Linked DNA regions of Coturnix japonica. The protein of the gene in region 1 interacts with the protein of each later gene in a pairwise test. Links are inferred from orthologs where the notes say so. Each region holds a gene or a part of one and is shown on either strand. Other genes may lie near its edges.

Region 1 (3,511 bases):
TGGGAATAGAAATGAATTAGGAGATTGCGGAGGCCCCAAGCCCTAATGCTGCAGGGGCTTGTTTGGCAGATATACTGAAAACACTTGAAATAGTGCTGTATTAATAATGGAGTGCCACCTTGCAACCCACAGCAGATGTTTAAGGTCCCTTCCAACCTCAGCCATTCTGCGATTCCATGACACGGTGCTACAGGAAAGGAGAAAAGCAGTGTAGTGTGCAGCAGGTCCCAGGGCGAGAATGACCTTCTGAAGGCAAAGGGAGCTGCGAGTTCTGGGGGCAACAGCTGAGCTAGCACCAAGGGGCTGTGGGTGTCAATGCCCCATGGAATCCACTGCAGCCACAGATGATCCAGGCTATCAGCAGCTCTGGGGCTGATACTGCAACACGGGAGTGCTGCCTTCAGCATAAGGAGGATCAGTGATGCTCAACAGTAGGAGCTGGGGATGCTCCCTGCATCCAGCAGGTCTGGGGGCGAGGCGTGAGACGGCGCGTGAGGAGTGGGCTGGGAAGGCGTGCTGCTGGAGGAGGGATTCCAGCAACCTGTCATCCATGTGTGTGCGCACAGCAGTGCGTCGGGAGCCGGGAAAACACTCCACACCTCCTCCTCCAAGGCTCACGTGGGGACAGCACTGGGATTATTCCTCCCCCGTGGCTCGCTCAGCCAGAGCTTGCAGTCATTGTCAGCAAGGATTTGGTCTGAAGTACACATGGAAGCTGCCGAGGGGAGCAGAGCAACGTTATCTGAAGTAGAAAATCCAACAGCAATGATAGCGACGGTATCCCGCGGGCAGAGCTGCCGTGGCTGTTATCTCCCTGCAGCCAAGAGCCACCTTGGGATCCGGCCCCGCAAAGGGCAGAGCAGCTGAGAGATGGCAATCATGGAGCAATTCAGCCTCCAAAGCGGGTGTCCTTTTCAAAGCCACCAAGAAAGGCTTGGCCTTGAGGGCTGAGGGCTCCTCTCCTTGCCAAAGCTGGAACACATCCTTTTTATCTCAGCGTTTGTCATCTATACAAAACACTTGCGTCCTGCCAAGCACTCAGATGTAAAGGCAGCGGGCAGGGGAAGCTGTGCACGAGCAGCTGTGTGCCATGAGCAGGTACGTGCCTTGCTGGGAGCACACTGGTGCTCTGCTTGGTGAGCCCTGTGTGCTATTTTCATCACCTCTTCACGCATGGGTTCCTGCAGAACTCAGACTTTTCCGTCTCCCGGTCCTGAACATGTTATTGCAAGTGACAATATATTATTCATTTTCTGCTCCGAGGTGTTAACTGATGTTTTCTTTCCTCCTTCTTCGTAGAGCGAGTAAAGGAGGCCAAGGAAGCTACTGCAGACACCTGCCCCTTTGGGCTTTCCTTGCCACAGCGTGTCATTCCCACCTCTTCCAAAGCCCATCCCACCCTCAGGAACTGAGCACAGGGCTCGGGGCTCACACTGTCCATCCCAAGGGGTTGATCCCTTAGTGGGCTCTGATCCAGCCCTGCTCCATGCCAAGAGTGGGGCAAAGTGCTTCTCAGCCCCTTAATGGCTCAAAACAGTCCATGGTCCTTCCTCAGCTGGGGTGGGGATGGAGGCTGGGGATGCCTATAATCCTCACCAAGCTCTGAGAGAAGAGCAAAACATTGGAGAAAAGGTGTTTGTAGGAGCACAGGGCAGCAGGGTGGGGACATCTGGATGCTGTAGGACTGGGTAACCCCCGGCCAAGAGGAAATCAATCAGCATTTTCCACTCCTGGCTGTGGGGATACACATTTATCAGCTCTGGGAGCAGCCAGCAGGACCTGGCTGCAGCAGCTTCCTGCATGCAGCACGGGGCACTTCACAGCCTTCCCCAGCCTTCGTCTCCCTGTGGGGTTAGATAAGCTAATGGAAGCCCAAAAAGTCCATGCAAAGCATCTGGGGAACACATCCTCCAGCCCTGAGAGTCCCAAGGTACAACCAGGAGCAGAACAGCAGTGCATGGCCATCCTGCTCTCCTGAAGGCACCGCTCCAAGATGGACAGACTGAAAGATGTACTTTTGTGCTCCCATTAACACATCCATGCAAACCCCCTCATATCTCAGGAATAAGGTTGCATAACATGAAATCATGCCAAACAGTCCTTGGCTTTCTGACCGAGCCACTCTTCTACCCCACATATGTCCCTTTCCTCCAAGTGCAACCAAACCAGCTCCTGTGTTTGGCTTTTAAATAACATTTTCTGACAGTGAGTGATGAGGAAGACTCGATGGAGAGTGCAGATGTGCCATTCCCATCCTTGGGGGCTGCTGGGCCATCACAGCTCTAAGCCCTGCCCTTTCCACCACCTCCCTCTGCCATGGCAATCACCTGGTGCTAAAGAGCTGAGAGTCCATTCTGATCACTGTAGGAAGGGAGGAAATTAAACCACAAAGCCCAGCCCCCAGGCATCTCCTGCTGCTCCCCATCTGAGCCCCCAGCTGATGCACCAGGCCCTGCCCTCCCATAGAACATGAGATCTGCATCCCCACTTCTGCAGTGTCTACTTTTGGGTTGGGGGCTGCTCAATAAGCAGTGACTTACTGATGAAGTTGGCTTGTCCAGTGAAGATGGTGTACTGCAGCTCATAAGAGACCACGCTGAACTCATCATCTGATGTCCAGTGGACTGTGATGGTGTCATGGGAGGCGGTGCAGAGCTCCTCACGCACAGACGGAGGGTTCGGTGCTGCAGGGAATGAATTCAACAAACTGATGTTTCCTCATTGTTGGGCTTTATTTGCTCTTTATGGGGCTCACGCAGGGAGCAGAGCCTCATTTACAAGTCACTGAGTAACAACATCCTCACTTCTCCACAGCCCCCAGTCCTCCCCCTGGCTCTCCAGCCCCAGCATGGCACAGTAAGCAGTTTATTCCCATGTCTCCTTGGCTGTCCCCCTGCCCACCCCGAGGTCATCACCTCCTCCCTCACTGGTGGAGAGCAACATTTTTTCCCCACTTTCTGAACTCCTGAGGTGCCAACAGGATGATGGGAACACATCACTGCCTTGGGGACAACCCGGTGGCCTCTGTCCTACTATGGCCCACTATTGACCTGGTTTAATATCCCCCCCATCAGCGCTCAGTGGGGAGAAGGAGGCAGTGCTGGGGGGCAGAGCAGGGGTTATGTGCCTGTGTGCTCACCAGTGAGATAATCCAAACCCTCCAGCAGTTTCTTCTCTCTGGAAAAATCCAAGGCGAAGTTTTCAAAGGCGTCATTGAGATTAATTTCAGGAATTAGAACCTGGGAGGATGCAGTTGCCATGGCGACCCTGAAAGGAGAGAAGAGCCCATCAATCCGCATCGGGGTGCACTCTGCTCCCGACTCCTGGCTGATGGGAAGGGGGTGAGCAGCCCCACGGTGACAGCAGGGGACAGCAGGTGATGCAGCACAACACCCAGTGGAGTGGCAGGGATGGGGCATAGAGCTGGGGGTCCATTGCTGGGGGTCTCATCCCTATGCCCCATCTTGGCTCTCCCCACATGGCTGCTCCCACTGCTGTTGCTCCACTGGGG
Region 2 (3,973 bases), on another chromosome or scaffold:
ATCTGTTTTGCTGTGAGGACCACGTGCTTGCTGGAGGTGGTCCAGCTTGGTGTGATATAAGCTGATCCAGATACCACCATAGTTGTTTGTTACCCCCAGAAGATTCTCCATCTCTCCGCTGGCTCCTGCAGCCCTCGCTCTGATGGGTCTCACCCCATCTGTGCTCCCTGGGAGCTGGGAATCCCACTGCTACCCTCCCACCCTCCATCTCTGCCTGATAAGACTCAACTCATTCCAGGCCTGGGAGATCTTCCCCTGCTTGTCCCATCTTTCCTCACCCAGGTGAGAATATCCTTGGTAGCCTGCTGATAACGCAGTTCAAGCTGATCCAGGTCGTCCTTGTACTGCAGGCTCCCATCTTCAGCACACTGGCTGAATTCCTCAGCTTGCTCTTTTGCCTCCCTGAGCCCACGTTCTGCTTGCAGAAGGGCTTTGCGCATCCTCACCAACATCCTGTAGCGCCACATGATGGCCTGGATCTCCTCAAACTGCAGCACAGCGGGGTTAGTAATCCCACCCCCCCCATTATAATGGAAAGTCTTGCACTGTTCATGAGGTGCAGCACCTGCCCCAGCTGGAGTGTCTTCCCTTGTTGATGGACTGCCAGCCAAGTTGGGATGAGAGCAATGCCCCATCCCTGGTAATTTCCAGTTGGGCTGTTCCCAGAGGTGCCATAAGCAAGGTGAGACATCACACCTCTACTACAAAGGAGCAGCACTCCAATAAAACAAAGCACAAATGCAACTGCCTGCACTGATCTACCTGGAGCTGGGAAGGGGCCAGCTGGCATCCCAGGAGAATGAGTGATGCATGGAATGATGCCCGGGCTTCCTTGAAAGGATACAGCTTGGGTTCCCATCCCTAGACAACACTCCTCCCACACCATCAATGTGACACGAAACAGTGACTCAAAGTTTTCCCCATTCCACTCATCTCTGTGCCTTTACCCCCTTTAAATAGTTTTCCTTTAGTTTTCCCAAGTCTTCCCCTCCTTTTCTGGTTCTCTTCCTTTAACTCTGGTCCCTTTGGTTCACCCTACTTACAGGGAACCTCTTCCCATCCCATCTGAGGTCTCTGGGCTTGACCAAATGCTATGATTTTCCTGAATATATCTTTTCTTTTCCATGTTTAATGCCCATGTAAGGCCCTCCCTGTGGCCATGAACTGCTTCCCACACTCACCTGTGAGATCTTCACCACATCCTCCAGGTATGTTCCAAAGATGGAGTAATTCTGCACCCCAACACTGAGTTTCTGGTGCTTATTTTTCAGCTCTTCCAGTTCCTTCCTAGCACTCAGCAGCTCATTCTCTTTCTGTATCATCAACTCCCTTTCTTTGCCAGCTTTCTTTAGAGCTTGGATTCGCATTTTATCATTGTCCTAGCAGTGTTCCCCATAAATACATGCACATAAACATGCACACAGGGAAAGGAAAGCGAGAGAAGAAGGAGTTATGTCATTCAGCAACGCTGTAAGGAGTTATCTTTCCCTGGGAACACATTCCATCCCTGCTTAATGGGACCATCTCATTAACACCAACACTCTGGTCTTGGAGACGAGACCCTGGGAGGCACTTTGCTTTTCAGACCTACTGCTATCAATCAGTGGGGACAGTATGAGCCCCTCCTGGGGGTTGCCTGGGGCCCTCAGGGGTCACAGTGGTGCAGGATGAGCTGCGTGCTGCACAAGCCCTGCCAGGGCTTTGCATATCTGGCACAAAGTCCCGAGCTGCCCTTAGGGCTTAAAGGGGATCCATGCAGAGAGGGGTGCCCACAGTCCTTCTTCCCAGGGAAGGGGAGGAATTGGCTTTGTATCTCAGTGTTGTGCTGGATGGATGGAGGAGGGGCAGCTGTACCTTTAGGGTCCTCTCAGATTTCTTCATGTGAGCCTTCAGCTTGGCCTCCTTAGCCCACAACTCCTTCCACCTGCAGGTGAGGTTCTCAATCCTCACCCTGAAGTCCTGGCAGCACACAGGGGACACAGCTCAGCTGTCTGTGATGCAGCCAGCCACAAATGCACTGCCACCCTCCAAAAAGCCACCCCAGCAGTGACCAGTGCCCTTCCACCCTTCTCACCTCTTCCTTCTCCTCCAGAATCCTTTGCATCTCTTGGGCTTCTTTCTTCTTCTCCTGGAGGCGAATAAATGGAGACAGAGAGTCCTCCTCGGTCAGTTTGAGTTTCCTGCCACAGAAGCATTCATTGTGGTGACCGACTGGGCTCAGCACCTTGGCAGGGTGTTGGTTTGCTGTGCCCCATTGCCCACTCAGGACCTGTCTCAGAGCTGGTCCAACAGCAAAGAGTCTCCGAGAACCAGGGTGGATTGCTCCCCAGAGGGGATCCCATGGAGACAGCAAGGAGGGATTGCAGGGCTGAGGAGGGGAGATGAAAGGAGAGGTTGGAGTGGTGGAGGTAAGGAGATGAGTGGGGGAGATAAGGGATGTGAGCTTGCAGGGGTGGGGGAAACAGAAGTGGATGGACGGGCTGGAGGAACTCCCTACTTGAGCAAGGGCAGCAGATTCTGCCTGTACTGCATGCTGAAATAGTCTGACAGGTCCTCATTGTCCACGGTGGCCATTGCTTCAGCCATCAGCACGGCCCAGAGAGCTCAAATCCTGGTGCAGCTGCTGCCCCTTCACCCCAGGAGCTGCCCTGTAAGCCCACGGGCTCAGCAGTGCATAGGAGAAACACTCAGCAAGGATAGGAGCCCTGAGAGCCTCCTGCTTCTGCTTTCTTAGGGCATTCTGTGCCCTGGCTGTGCCTGTTGCTGCTGACTGTTGGTGGTTGGTTGGCATGGAACAGGTTCCAAGGCAGTTGGAGGACGTTCAGGCAGTTATATGGAGACCAAAGCAGTGTGATACCCCACATCCTCATGGAAGGGACTGCAGAGTGCATGTGTGCCCTGCCTGCTCCGCACCCCATGCTGTGTCTTGGGCTGCCAGAAGGGTTCTGCTGCCCTATGGGCTGGGGTGGTGCCTTGTGATGAACCCTTTACTCCCAAAGGTCCCCCACCCACAGCTGGCAGTGACCTCCAGGTCTGGACATTTCACCCTCTATGTTTGCCAAGGGCAACCTCCACCTTCCTCAGCCCTTACATGCAAGATCCATCTGCAGGCTACTGCATGTGAAATGCCCCTGCCTCAGTGGTGAGACTCTGCAGGTAGAAGTCTTCATTTTGGTTACAGCCCTGACTTGTATCAGGGAAATTACTTTCAGGCAAACATCACCCTGTGCTCATTATGAACCAGCAAGCTGGGGAGAGGCTGCCAGCTCTGTCTGTTTTAAGCAGGAGGAAGATATATAGTACAGGTGGGGACCATTAGTGGTGTGAGAGATGCTTCATTGAGAAACAAATGACCAAGGCAAAGCCAGGGATGCACTTGGCTTTTATTATGGAGGTTAAAATCAGCCACAGGTGACTTCCCTATGGACAGCACTGAGCTGCTCCATCCCAGTGGGTCAGGCAGACTCCATCTGGGCTTCTGGGGGCGTGCAATCATGTGGGGGGAGAGCAGAGCAGCCTGAGGTGGCTGCTGGGTGCTGCGATCAGCAGCTCAGGCAGTTAAAGTTCATTACCACTATGAATAATTGGAGGCAGGCATTTCCAAGGGGAAACACTGGCTGGTTTCCCAGCCTCACTGAGAATTCCCCGTTACATGACACTGCCCTACCAATGACAGGCAGCTCTGGGGAGCAGGCGGCGCCATCAGCTGCTTGTCTGCTCATGTCTACCATCAGGGCTTCTCCTCTGCCTTTGCCTCCAGGGTGTTTCATCACTCAGGGGGGGCTGTAACACCCACCCGTTGGGTTTTTGCTCACCACGCTCTGTTGTTTAAGAGGAAGCACACAGATCCCATTCAGAAGATGCTGGTCCAAGAGCTGTGACAGTCAACGCCATGCCCTGTCCTGGTGGGTCTTCCCCAAACCTGGATCCATTTCACGGCTGCTGTGGAAATGCCCTCAGACGGCTTTTTTTC
Region 3 (4,064 bases), on another chromosome or scaffold:
ATGACTGGGAGCGGAGCAGGAGCTGGGCACAGAGCTCTAATTGTCATCGGGACATCAAGGCCAGGAACACCAGGAAGGACTTGCCTACCCCCAAGCACTGCTGCTGCAGGAGCACAAAGCCACCAGTGCCCGAGGCAGCGGGACAACTGCAGCACTGGGGTCTGGCTGCACGCACAGCAGAATCACAGGGACCCTGGAGCGGCCAAAAGCTCTGCCTGGGCCTGCTCAGTGGCAGCTCTTCTCCTGCCACAGCACCAGCAGGGTCAGGCTTACCCAGGAGCTGTTGTGCCCAGGGGACCCACCCTGCCAGCACAAGGGAATGCTGAGGTCAGTCCCCAGGAGCAGGTCTCACTGCCTGGCACCCCCGTGCTGATTTCCCGGAAGATAAAACCTCTTCCCTTCTTTTGGGGAGGCACCGCAGCGCTGCAGACGCGGTTGTGGTGGCTGGTGACCCAGTTTTTCCTGGCTTCAAGAGAAATCTTATCTCCTGTGGTTGGCTGCTACCGCGTGGGCAGCTGCTACGAGTTGGCGCTGGGCTGCTTTCCTGCGAAACCCAACTGGTGTGTGAAGGGCTCTGACGTGAGCAGCAACAGCTGGGGCAGGAAACCTGCCCGCTTCCATGTAGGGGCTGCTCCTGCGGGTAATTCCCTCTGCCCTGGGCCGGTGCTGCGGGAAAGTCCTGGCAGCCAGAGGGCGGGGGACAGCCCGGGGAGAGCCCTGCAGAGCGATGGTAACCGGTAAATTCAGCACCGAGGTACGCCGCGCATTCAGCACGATGGTAACCCGGGCATTCCAAGCACCGATGGGCAACCCGTTTCAGCACCGTGGTAACCCGTATTCAGCACCGATGTAACCCGGTATTCAGCACCGATGGTAACCCGGTATTCAGCACCGATGGTAACCCGGTATTCAGCACCGACACTGAGCGCAGCCTCCAGCCGCAGCCACACGAGCAGCAGGGGCAGGACTCGGCAGCCGGCCCCGGGAATCCCGGGCAGGGACCCGGCGCGGGCCGGGGCTACGTGCGGCCGGCTCCGCAGCACGTCACCACTCCCGAGCCCCGAAGCGATGAGCGGAGAGATCACAGCGGGGCCGATCTGAGCCCTGAGGGGAACCGAGCCCTGAGGGGAACCGCCGCTGCACCGCGACCGGACCGGGCCGAAACCAGCTCCACATCCGGCCACAGGAGCCGGAAATGACCTCCACGCTGAGCGTCACTTCCGGCGGCTTGCGACGGTTCGGCGCGCGTTCACTTCCGGTACGCCGGCGGAAGCGGGAGTTGCAGTTCCGGGTGAGCGGTCGGTCTGTCGGTCTGTCGGTCGGTCGGTGCTGTGAGCGGCTGCGGTTCGTCCCGTCCCGTCCCGCCGCCATGTCGGCCCCCAGCGCTCTCGTGAAGCAGCCGCCCATCCAGTCCACGGCGGGCGCCGTGCCCGTCCGCAATGAGAAGGGTGAGTGCGGGGCGCCGGGAGGGGCGGGGGGCGCGGGCACGGCGGCGGCGTGAATGTTCATGGCATGAATGCACATGGCTGCCCATGGCGCCCTGCTCATGGCCCGGCTGCCCATGGCTGCCCATGGCTGCTCACGGCTGTTCATGGCCCGGCTGCCCATGGCGCCCTGCTCATGGCCCGGCTGCTCATGGCTTCCCGCTGCTGTTCCTCCCGCTGCTGTTCCCCCCCCTCCCGCAGGCGAGCTGTCTATGGAGAAGGTGAAGGTGAAGCGGTACGTGTCGGGGAAGCGGCCCGACTACGCGCCCATGGAATCCTCGGAGGAGGAGGACGAGGAGTTCCAGTTCATCAAGAAGGCGAAGGAGCAGGAGGTGGAGCCCGAGGAGCAGGAGGAGGAGGTCGCCAACGACCCGCGGCTGCGGCGGCTGCAGAACCGCATCACTGAGGACGTGGAGGAGCGGTGAGTGCTCGGCTCCGGGCTCTGCTCCCTCCTCGTGCTCCCCCCCAGCTTTGTGTTTCCGGGCTCCTGAGCACGCAGGGGATGCCTCTTTCCTTCACACGCTTCGTGGTCCCGGGTCTGACTACGGTCTCATTAGAAACAGATCGCAAAGATTTCTCTTCTTTAGTCTCCTTGTGTTCAGAGCTTCGTAGTCGAGTGGACATTTGTTGCAGGCTGGCAAGACACCGCAAAATTGTGGAGCCTGAAGTGGTCGGAGAGAGTGATTCTGAGGTAGAAGGTGAAGCGTGGCGTGTGGAGAGAGAGGACACCAGTGAAGAGGAAGAGGAAGAGATCGATGATGAGGTTCGTTATATTGCTGAGCAGATGTGGCCTGGGAAAGTCCCCTTAGGCCCTGTCTGGAATTCGTGCTTGCAGACACACGTGAACTGTGGTGAGACTGGGTGGATGTTGGGACCTGAGTTAAAGCCAGCTGTGGTGTGACCACAGCCTGTGGGTTATGGGGCACCAGGGAGGTCACCTGCGTTCTGAGGTGTGGGCTTATATAAGCAGTCAACATCATATCATATAAGCTCAACATCATGCTTTTTATATGGAAAAAGGAAGGAAGCGATAGTGGGGCTGGTTGGCTGAGTCTGTGTTTGATGTGTCTCCATTAGGAGATCGAGCGTCGGCGTGGGATGATGCGTCAGAGAGCGCAGGAGAGAAAAACTGAGGAGCTGGAAGTGATGGAGCTGGAAGATGAGGGCAGATCTGGAGAAGAGTCTGAGTCAGAGTCTGAGTACGAGGAGTACACAGACAGCGAGGATGAAATGGAGCCACGTCTCAAACCTGTCTTCATCCGCAAGTAGGTGATAAGGTGATACAGCTGCATGGGCCAAGCACTGCATCAGGGATGGGCAGTGACTGACCTGGTAGGGCATGGCTGGGTACTTCCAACTGGGGACTTTAGGCAGGTACAGCACAACAGAAACCAGGTAGTGTGCTCCAACATGTTCCACAGCCAGTAGCAGGGTCTCCCATCACCTTTGTGCATGTCTGCAGATGTGAGGAGACTGAGTATGGTCGCTCTTGAATGAGCAAAATCAGAAAGGAGAGAGCCTTGGGACTTGGCCCTGCCGTGGGGGGCATAAAGACTAAAAGAGGCTGCAGTGGGAGCAGAGGTCTGCAGTGGCATGTTGAAAGGCTGAAGGCTTTTGTGGTCCCTGCTCACAGGAAGGACCGGATCACAGTTCAGGAGCGAGAAGCAGAAGCCTTGAAGCAGAAGGAGCTAGAACAGGAGGCAAAGAGATTAGCAGAAGAGAGGCGCAAGTACACACTCAAGGTACAGCGGGGCAGACTGGGGCATGCATGTTGGGGCAGCCATTGCAGTGAGCTGAGCTTGGTCTTGGCTTCAGATCGTGGAAGAGGAGGCAAAGAAGGAGCTGGAAGAGAATAAGCGCTCGTTGGCAGCACTTGATGCTCTCGATACAGACGATGAGAATGATGAGGAGGAGTACGAGGCTTGGAAAGTACGTGAGCTGAAGCGCATCAAACGGGATCGTGAAGAACGAGAAGCGTAAGTACTGTCTGCTTAAGGCAGGGGAGGGTCCCTGCAGTCCCAGGCCCTGCAGGACAGCGGGCAGTTGAGGCGTCTCTTTCTCAGTCTTTGTTTTGGCAGCATCAGGAATTTTCTTGAGGTGCTTTACTCCATTATGGAGTCAGTCAACGTATTCGTCAGAAAGTCCCGGGTGGCAGCAGCTGTCCCATCTTGGGAGGGCACTGAGGGATGCAGGGGCTCAGGGTTTCTCTTTTGCCCAGCATGGAGAAAGAGAAGGCAGAGATCGAGCGGATGAGGAACCTGACAGAGGAGGAGCGCCGTGCCGAGCTGCGAGCCAACGGCAAAGTCATCACCAACAAGGCAGTGAAGGGCAAATACAAGTTCCTGCAGAAGTACTACCACCGTGGCGCCTTCTTCATGGTGAGTTCTGCTGCCAGGCCTGGGGCTGCGTGGACCACGTGGCTGTTTTGGGGGAGTTTTCCCTAGTGGTACCCAAGTAAGGGCTGGCCAAGCACACAGGACCAGAGCTGGCCCTCAACAGCAGCGTGCTGCTGAAGTGACTGAGGGGATCTGAGGTGCCTGTCAGGTCTGGCAGGCAGGGTGAGTAAAGACACGAATGCAG
Region 4 (4,190 bases), on another chromosome or scaffold:
AAAGCCCTTTGCTTCCTACTGTGTCTTTGGCCAGTATCCCTTAGCTTCATGTGGGATAAAGCTGAAGAAAAGTAGTTCAGCCCCTAGCACTTACTGCCAGGTTACACAGCTCTGGAAATGAAAATGGCTATTTATTTTGGAAAAACATTTCTGTACCATATCTCTTTTCATGGGCTGCAGGTAGGGGTCAGCTGCAAATGGAGAGTAATTAAGGCCCAGATGAGGGTTATTTGTGTTGCCCCATGCAGTAGTGATTTTTATACAGGGTTCTGTTTCAGTATACACAATGTCAGGAAGCAGCTGGTAAAAAGCTGTGTACCTTGTGTGCAGTATCGCTTGCTAGAATAGCACGATACTTCTTCAGTGGGTTTTGGCTTCTTCTCCCAGGCAATAAACAGGACCTGAGAAAATGGCCACAAGTTGTGCTAGAAGAGGTTTAGATTAAACATAAGGAAAAACTTTTTCTCTCAAAGAGTGGTCAGGCACTGGAATGGCTGCCCAGGGAGGTGGTGGAGTTGCTGTCCCTGGCAGTGTTCAAGAGGCATCTGGATGAGGAGCTACAAGATATGGTTTAGTAGCTTGTTGTAGCAATGGTGATGGGAGGATAGTTGGACTAGGTGATCTTGCAGGTCCTTTCCAACCTTGTGATTCAGTGATGCTTAAACCAAGCATTTAGCTTTGATGTTTCAAAACATGATCAAATTTCTTGGAAATATATTTAAAGTTATACTTTGAAGAGTTTAACTTCATGTAGTTCTACTTTTGTTTTTCTGATTAAAACTTTTGGCTTTTCAAAGGGTCCACGCTTTGGAGCAGCCAGATCAGTGAACATCTGAATACGCTCTAAGAGTTGTCACACAGGACTGGCTGACTTGAACTGGAGGAGGGAAGATGATGTCCTTGGATGGACTGCAGAAGAATATCAGTAACCCGGTAACTCTTATGTCAACAACTCCTCCCCCAGGAAATGGAACTTTGCTCTTTAATGTCAGAAATTAGCAGGGCATTCCTATGGCTCAGAGTGTTACTGAGAGCTCTTGATGTTGCTTGGGTGTGTGAGGAAAATCCTCATAGGTGGCTGTAGTATTTCTCTACTTGTACTCTGCAGCAGTGGCCTTGCACTGGCATGAGAAATGGGCTGGAGCTCTACTTCTCATTGTTCTTTAAAAACAGTTCTTTTGAGCCTTCAGGAGATGGTTATTTGTCATACTTCTAGCACAGAATATTAAAAAAAAAGCAACACCACTAGGTCTGTATAGAATCTCTGTGGAATAAACAGTGCTACGTAACTGTACAGGACTTCCTTTTCTCTTGTAGTTCTGCACTGATACAGTCCAGTGCCCTCAAGTGCATCTGACTGTTCAGTTCCACTGCTTGTTTGTTGCTTGTGAAATGGATAGACTAATAGATGATGGGGAAATGGCTTTAGGTTTCTTCACAAGAATCCATCTGGGGGAAGAAGGAAGGATGTGTGGAGATGGAAATAGAGCTGTAAGGACTGAATTGCAAAAGGGAGATGTGAAGAGGATCAGTAAATGTACAGGTGACATTGTCTGTGTAAGGAGAAGAGGAGGAGTTCAGCAAAACTGGTTGACTGTAAGTGGTCTGGTGAATATGGTGGGTGACAAAACCAAGCTGGAGAACATAAAGGAGTATTATTGGGGCTTAGGCATCAAGAGCCTGGGGGAGAATAAGAGCAATTATTTGGAGACAGAGGTGTGAAAAGTTGTTCCAGGCTCCAGACAAAGTCTGCAAATTGGTCTTTGAGGCCTTTCAAACTGAGTTAGTGTTGGCTAGTTGGCTTCATGGGGAACTTCTGGAGGTTTGTGAGAGAGTTGGGATGGAATCAAGTAGTGGCACAAGCATTATTCTTAATAGATGAGTTAAAATTAGCACAGCTCTTGAGACGTGAAGAAATGACAAGCACATTCTGTAATGATGGTCATTAGGTCTGTAGTATTACGCCCAGGAAATGCTCTATTATGGCCATGCAGATTCCATGACTGAGCTTCTGGACAAGAGATGGCTGACTTTTTTCTCTATTAAATGTATCCTTGCTACAGTGTTAAATAACAGTGTATACAGTGTATAACAGTGTACACAGTATACAGTGTATAACAGTGTATACAGTGTATAAATAACTTTGACCCACTGGAGTATTCAAATCCCAGTGTTCCTGGGCTGTGTCTGTGTGTTTCTTATTGGTTCATCTCTGGAGACCGAACCAGTAACTTATACCCTGCTGTGATTCTCAAAGCTACTGCCCCTCAGGAGCAAGCAGTGTGTTTAAACTGCATGATGTGCAGAAAATATGCAGAATGTATTCTTTCTTACGTATTATTATTTGGATGAAATTGAGTGTCTTTTGTACAGCTTGTAGACTATGGAACTAAGCTCCTACACTACTGCTAGTAAGTAAATTGATTCAATCAGTTTATTTGTTATTTCACTTATACTGCCTAATTTTATGTTCTCATCCTCCTCTACTGCAGTTGGCTAAGCCAGTAAAATCCACAAGTCTTTAAACAGTTTGGTCAGTTTCAAGCTTATACTTGTGAAGTAGGTCTGTATTATCTCTAATGTAAAAGGTGACTGCAAAGAAAGGTGCAATATGTGGGTAGCTGAGAAGGGAAGGAAAGGGAGAAGATGGAAATGAACAACGCTCTGGATTTAGGAGATTTTTTTTTTGTCATTCCCATTCTGTGTAATCAGTGATAGAACTAGAGGGAATGGTTTTAAGCTGCGCCAGGGGAGATTCAGGCTGGACATTAGGAAGTATTACTTCTCGGAAAGGGTAGTCAGGCATTGGAATGCACTGCCCAGGGAGGTGGTGGAGTCACCAACCATGGGAGTATTCAAGAAACGTTTGGATGTTGTGTTGAGGGATATGATTTAGCCAGGAAGTATTGGTAATGGCTGGACTGGATGATCTTCTAGGTCTTTTCCAACCCTGATAATTCTGTGATTCTGTGATACTCTCCACCAGAGTTGCTGCTTTTCCAATCACAGTTTTTCAAAAAAGAGCAAGCAAAGAGACAGCAGCTGTAGTCTAGTGTTAAAAAACTGGTGCAAGATGCCTCCTGCAACCAGCAGTAGTTAGTCCTTGACAATGACCTAATTTGAAGGGGAATTCTATATTAAAAGTGGAGCAGTAAAATATTGCCATTATTCTTTAGAGAGCTAGGCATGAAGACTGTAAATGTTTAGCTTTAATCTTATCTGAGAAGGCTGATCTTCAGTGATGAAAATCTTGGTTTTTCCTTCTCTTCGTGGCAGATATTTAATGCTTTACTAGTGTTTCATTTAAATGGAATACTAGTTGTCTTTCTTTTAATGTGCTAGAGCATCACTTAATTATCAAAAATATTGTTTAAAAAACTATATATTTATTTTGCCTCTGTCACAAATGGTTATTTCTGTCTTTTTTCCCTCCTTCTTCTAGGTCATTCCCTATGTCGGGACGATTCTTGGTGGCATTGTTCCTGGAGAGCTGATTGTGATACATGGGAATGTTCCTGATGATGCAGACAGGTAGTAACTACAGTATCACTTTGTGAATTAACATAAGGTGAACAAGCCTGTAATTAAGAAAATGTTTCCACGTGTCCTGTGATGGATGGCAGACAAAGACTTCATTTTTAGATGAAGCAATAGTGTCACAGAGGATACAACCTTAAGTGGTTTATGAAAGTTTTGTGATGAAAACTGGAGGATAAACTGGTTTTTTGCTTTCCATTGATCTTCTTCCATGGTTTTGCTTTGTCTGCTTTGGCATTATTTTTCTGTCATGTCATTCCACATGGCACATGCATATTTATCTGAAGAGGTTATCAGTTGAACTTGTATATGATTTCTTGACAGAATGAACTAAATGCGATTTGTTTTATTTTTATGTTTAGGTTCCAGGTGGATTTACAGTGTGGCAGCAGCATAAAGCCTCGAGCTGATGTGGCCTTTCATTTTAACCCTCGCTTCAAATGGTCTGGCTGCATTGTTTGCAACACCCTGGAGAGGGAAAAATGGGGCTGGGAAGAAATCACTTATGATATGCCTTTTGAAAAAGGAAAGCCATTTGAGATTGTCATCATGATTTTAAAGGATAAATTCCAGGTGAGTTTGGGTTAATTCTTGGTCCATTTGTTAGGCCAATAAAAGAGAGGGATTTAGCATACGCACAATATAATCAGAAG

The links.
Region 2: the proteins of MID2 (region 1) and CCDC42 interact in binary tests that used the Homo sapiens proteins (3 or more experiments, as listed by UniProt). The two-hybrid records come from large-scale screens. The link is inferred for Coturnix japonica from reciprocal best matches to the Homo sapiens genes MID2 and CCDC42.
Region 3: the proteins of MID2 (region 1) and MFAP1 interact in binary tests that used the Homo sapiens proteins (3 or more experiments, as listed by UniProt). The two-hybrid records come from large-scale screens. The link is inferred for Coturnix japonica from reciprocal best matches to the Homo sapiens genes MID2 and MFAP1.
Region 4: the proteins of MID2 (region 1) and LGALS8 interact in binary tests that used the Homo sapiens proteins (3 or more experiments, as listed by UniProt). The two-hybrid records come from large-scale screens. The link is inferred for Coturnix japonica from reciprocal best matches to the Homo sapiens genes MID2 and LGALS8.

What each region holds. Positions count from the first base shown.
Region 1 is NC_029519.1:1,683,907-1,687,417, forward strand, and holds part of MID2 (probable E3 ubiquitin-protein ligase MID2), read right to left. Parts: intron 3,268-3,511; coding exon 3,140-3,267; intron 2,685-3,139; coding exon 2,541-2,684; intron 1-2,540. UniProt on the Homo sapiens protein: E3 ubiquitin ligase that plays a role in microtubule stabilization. Mediates the 'Lys-48'-linked polyubiquitination of LRRK2 to drive its localization to microtubules and its proteasomal degradation in neurons.
Region 2 is NC_029533.1:1,626,699-1,630,671, reverse strand, and holds the start of CCDC42 (coiled-coil domain-containing protein 42), read right to left. Parts: upstream 2,803-3,973; 5' UTR 2,587-2,802; coding exon 2,498-2,586; intron 2,181-2,497; coding exon 2,075-2,180; intron 1,960-2,074; coding exon 1,855-1,959; intron 1,380-1,854; coding exon 1,182-1,379; intron 489-1,181; coding exon 279-488; intron 1-278. UniProt on the Homo sapiens protein: Essential for male fertility. Required for sperm development.
Region 3 is NC_029525.1:18,263,728-18,267,791, forward strand, and holds the start of MFAP1 (microfibrillar-associated protein 1), read left to right. Parts: upstream 1-1,262; 5' UTR 1,263-1,369; coding exon 1,370-1,448; intron 1,449-1,685; coding exon 1,686-1,905; intron 1,906-2,117; coding exon 2,118-2,247; intron 2,248-2,561; coding exon 2,562-2,749; intron 2,750-3,117; coding exon 3,118-3,226; intron 3,227-3,299; coding exon 3,300-3,460; intron 3,461-3,702; coding exon 3,703-3,862; intron 3,863-4,064. UniProt on the Homo sapiens protein: Involved in pre-mRNA splicing as a component of the spliceosome.
Region 4 is NC_029518.1:33,917,061-33,921,250, reverse strand, and holds the start of LGALS8 (galectin-8), read left to right. Parts: upstream 1-1,388; 5' UTR 1,389-1,392; coding exon 1,393-1,596; intron 1,597-3,442; coding exon 3,443-3,531; intron 3,532-3,899; coding exon 3,900-4,110; intron 4,111-4,190.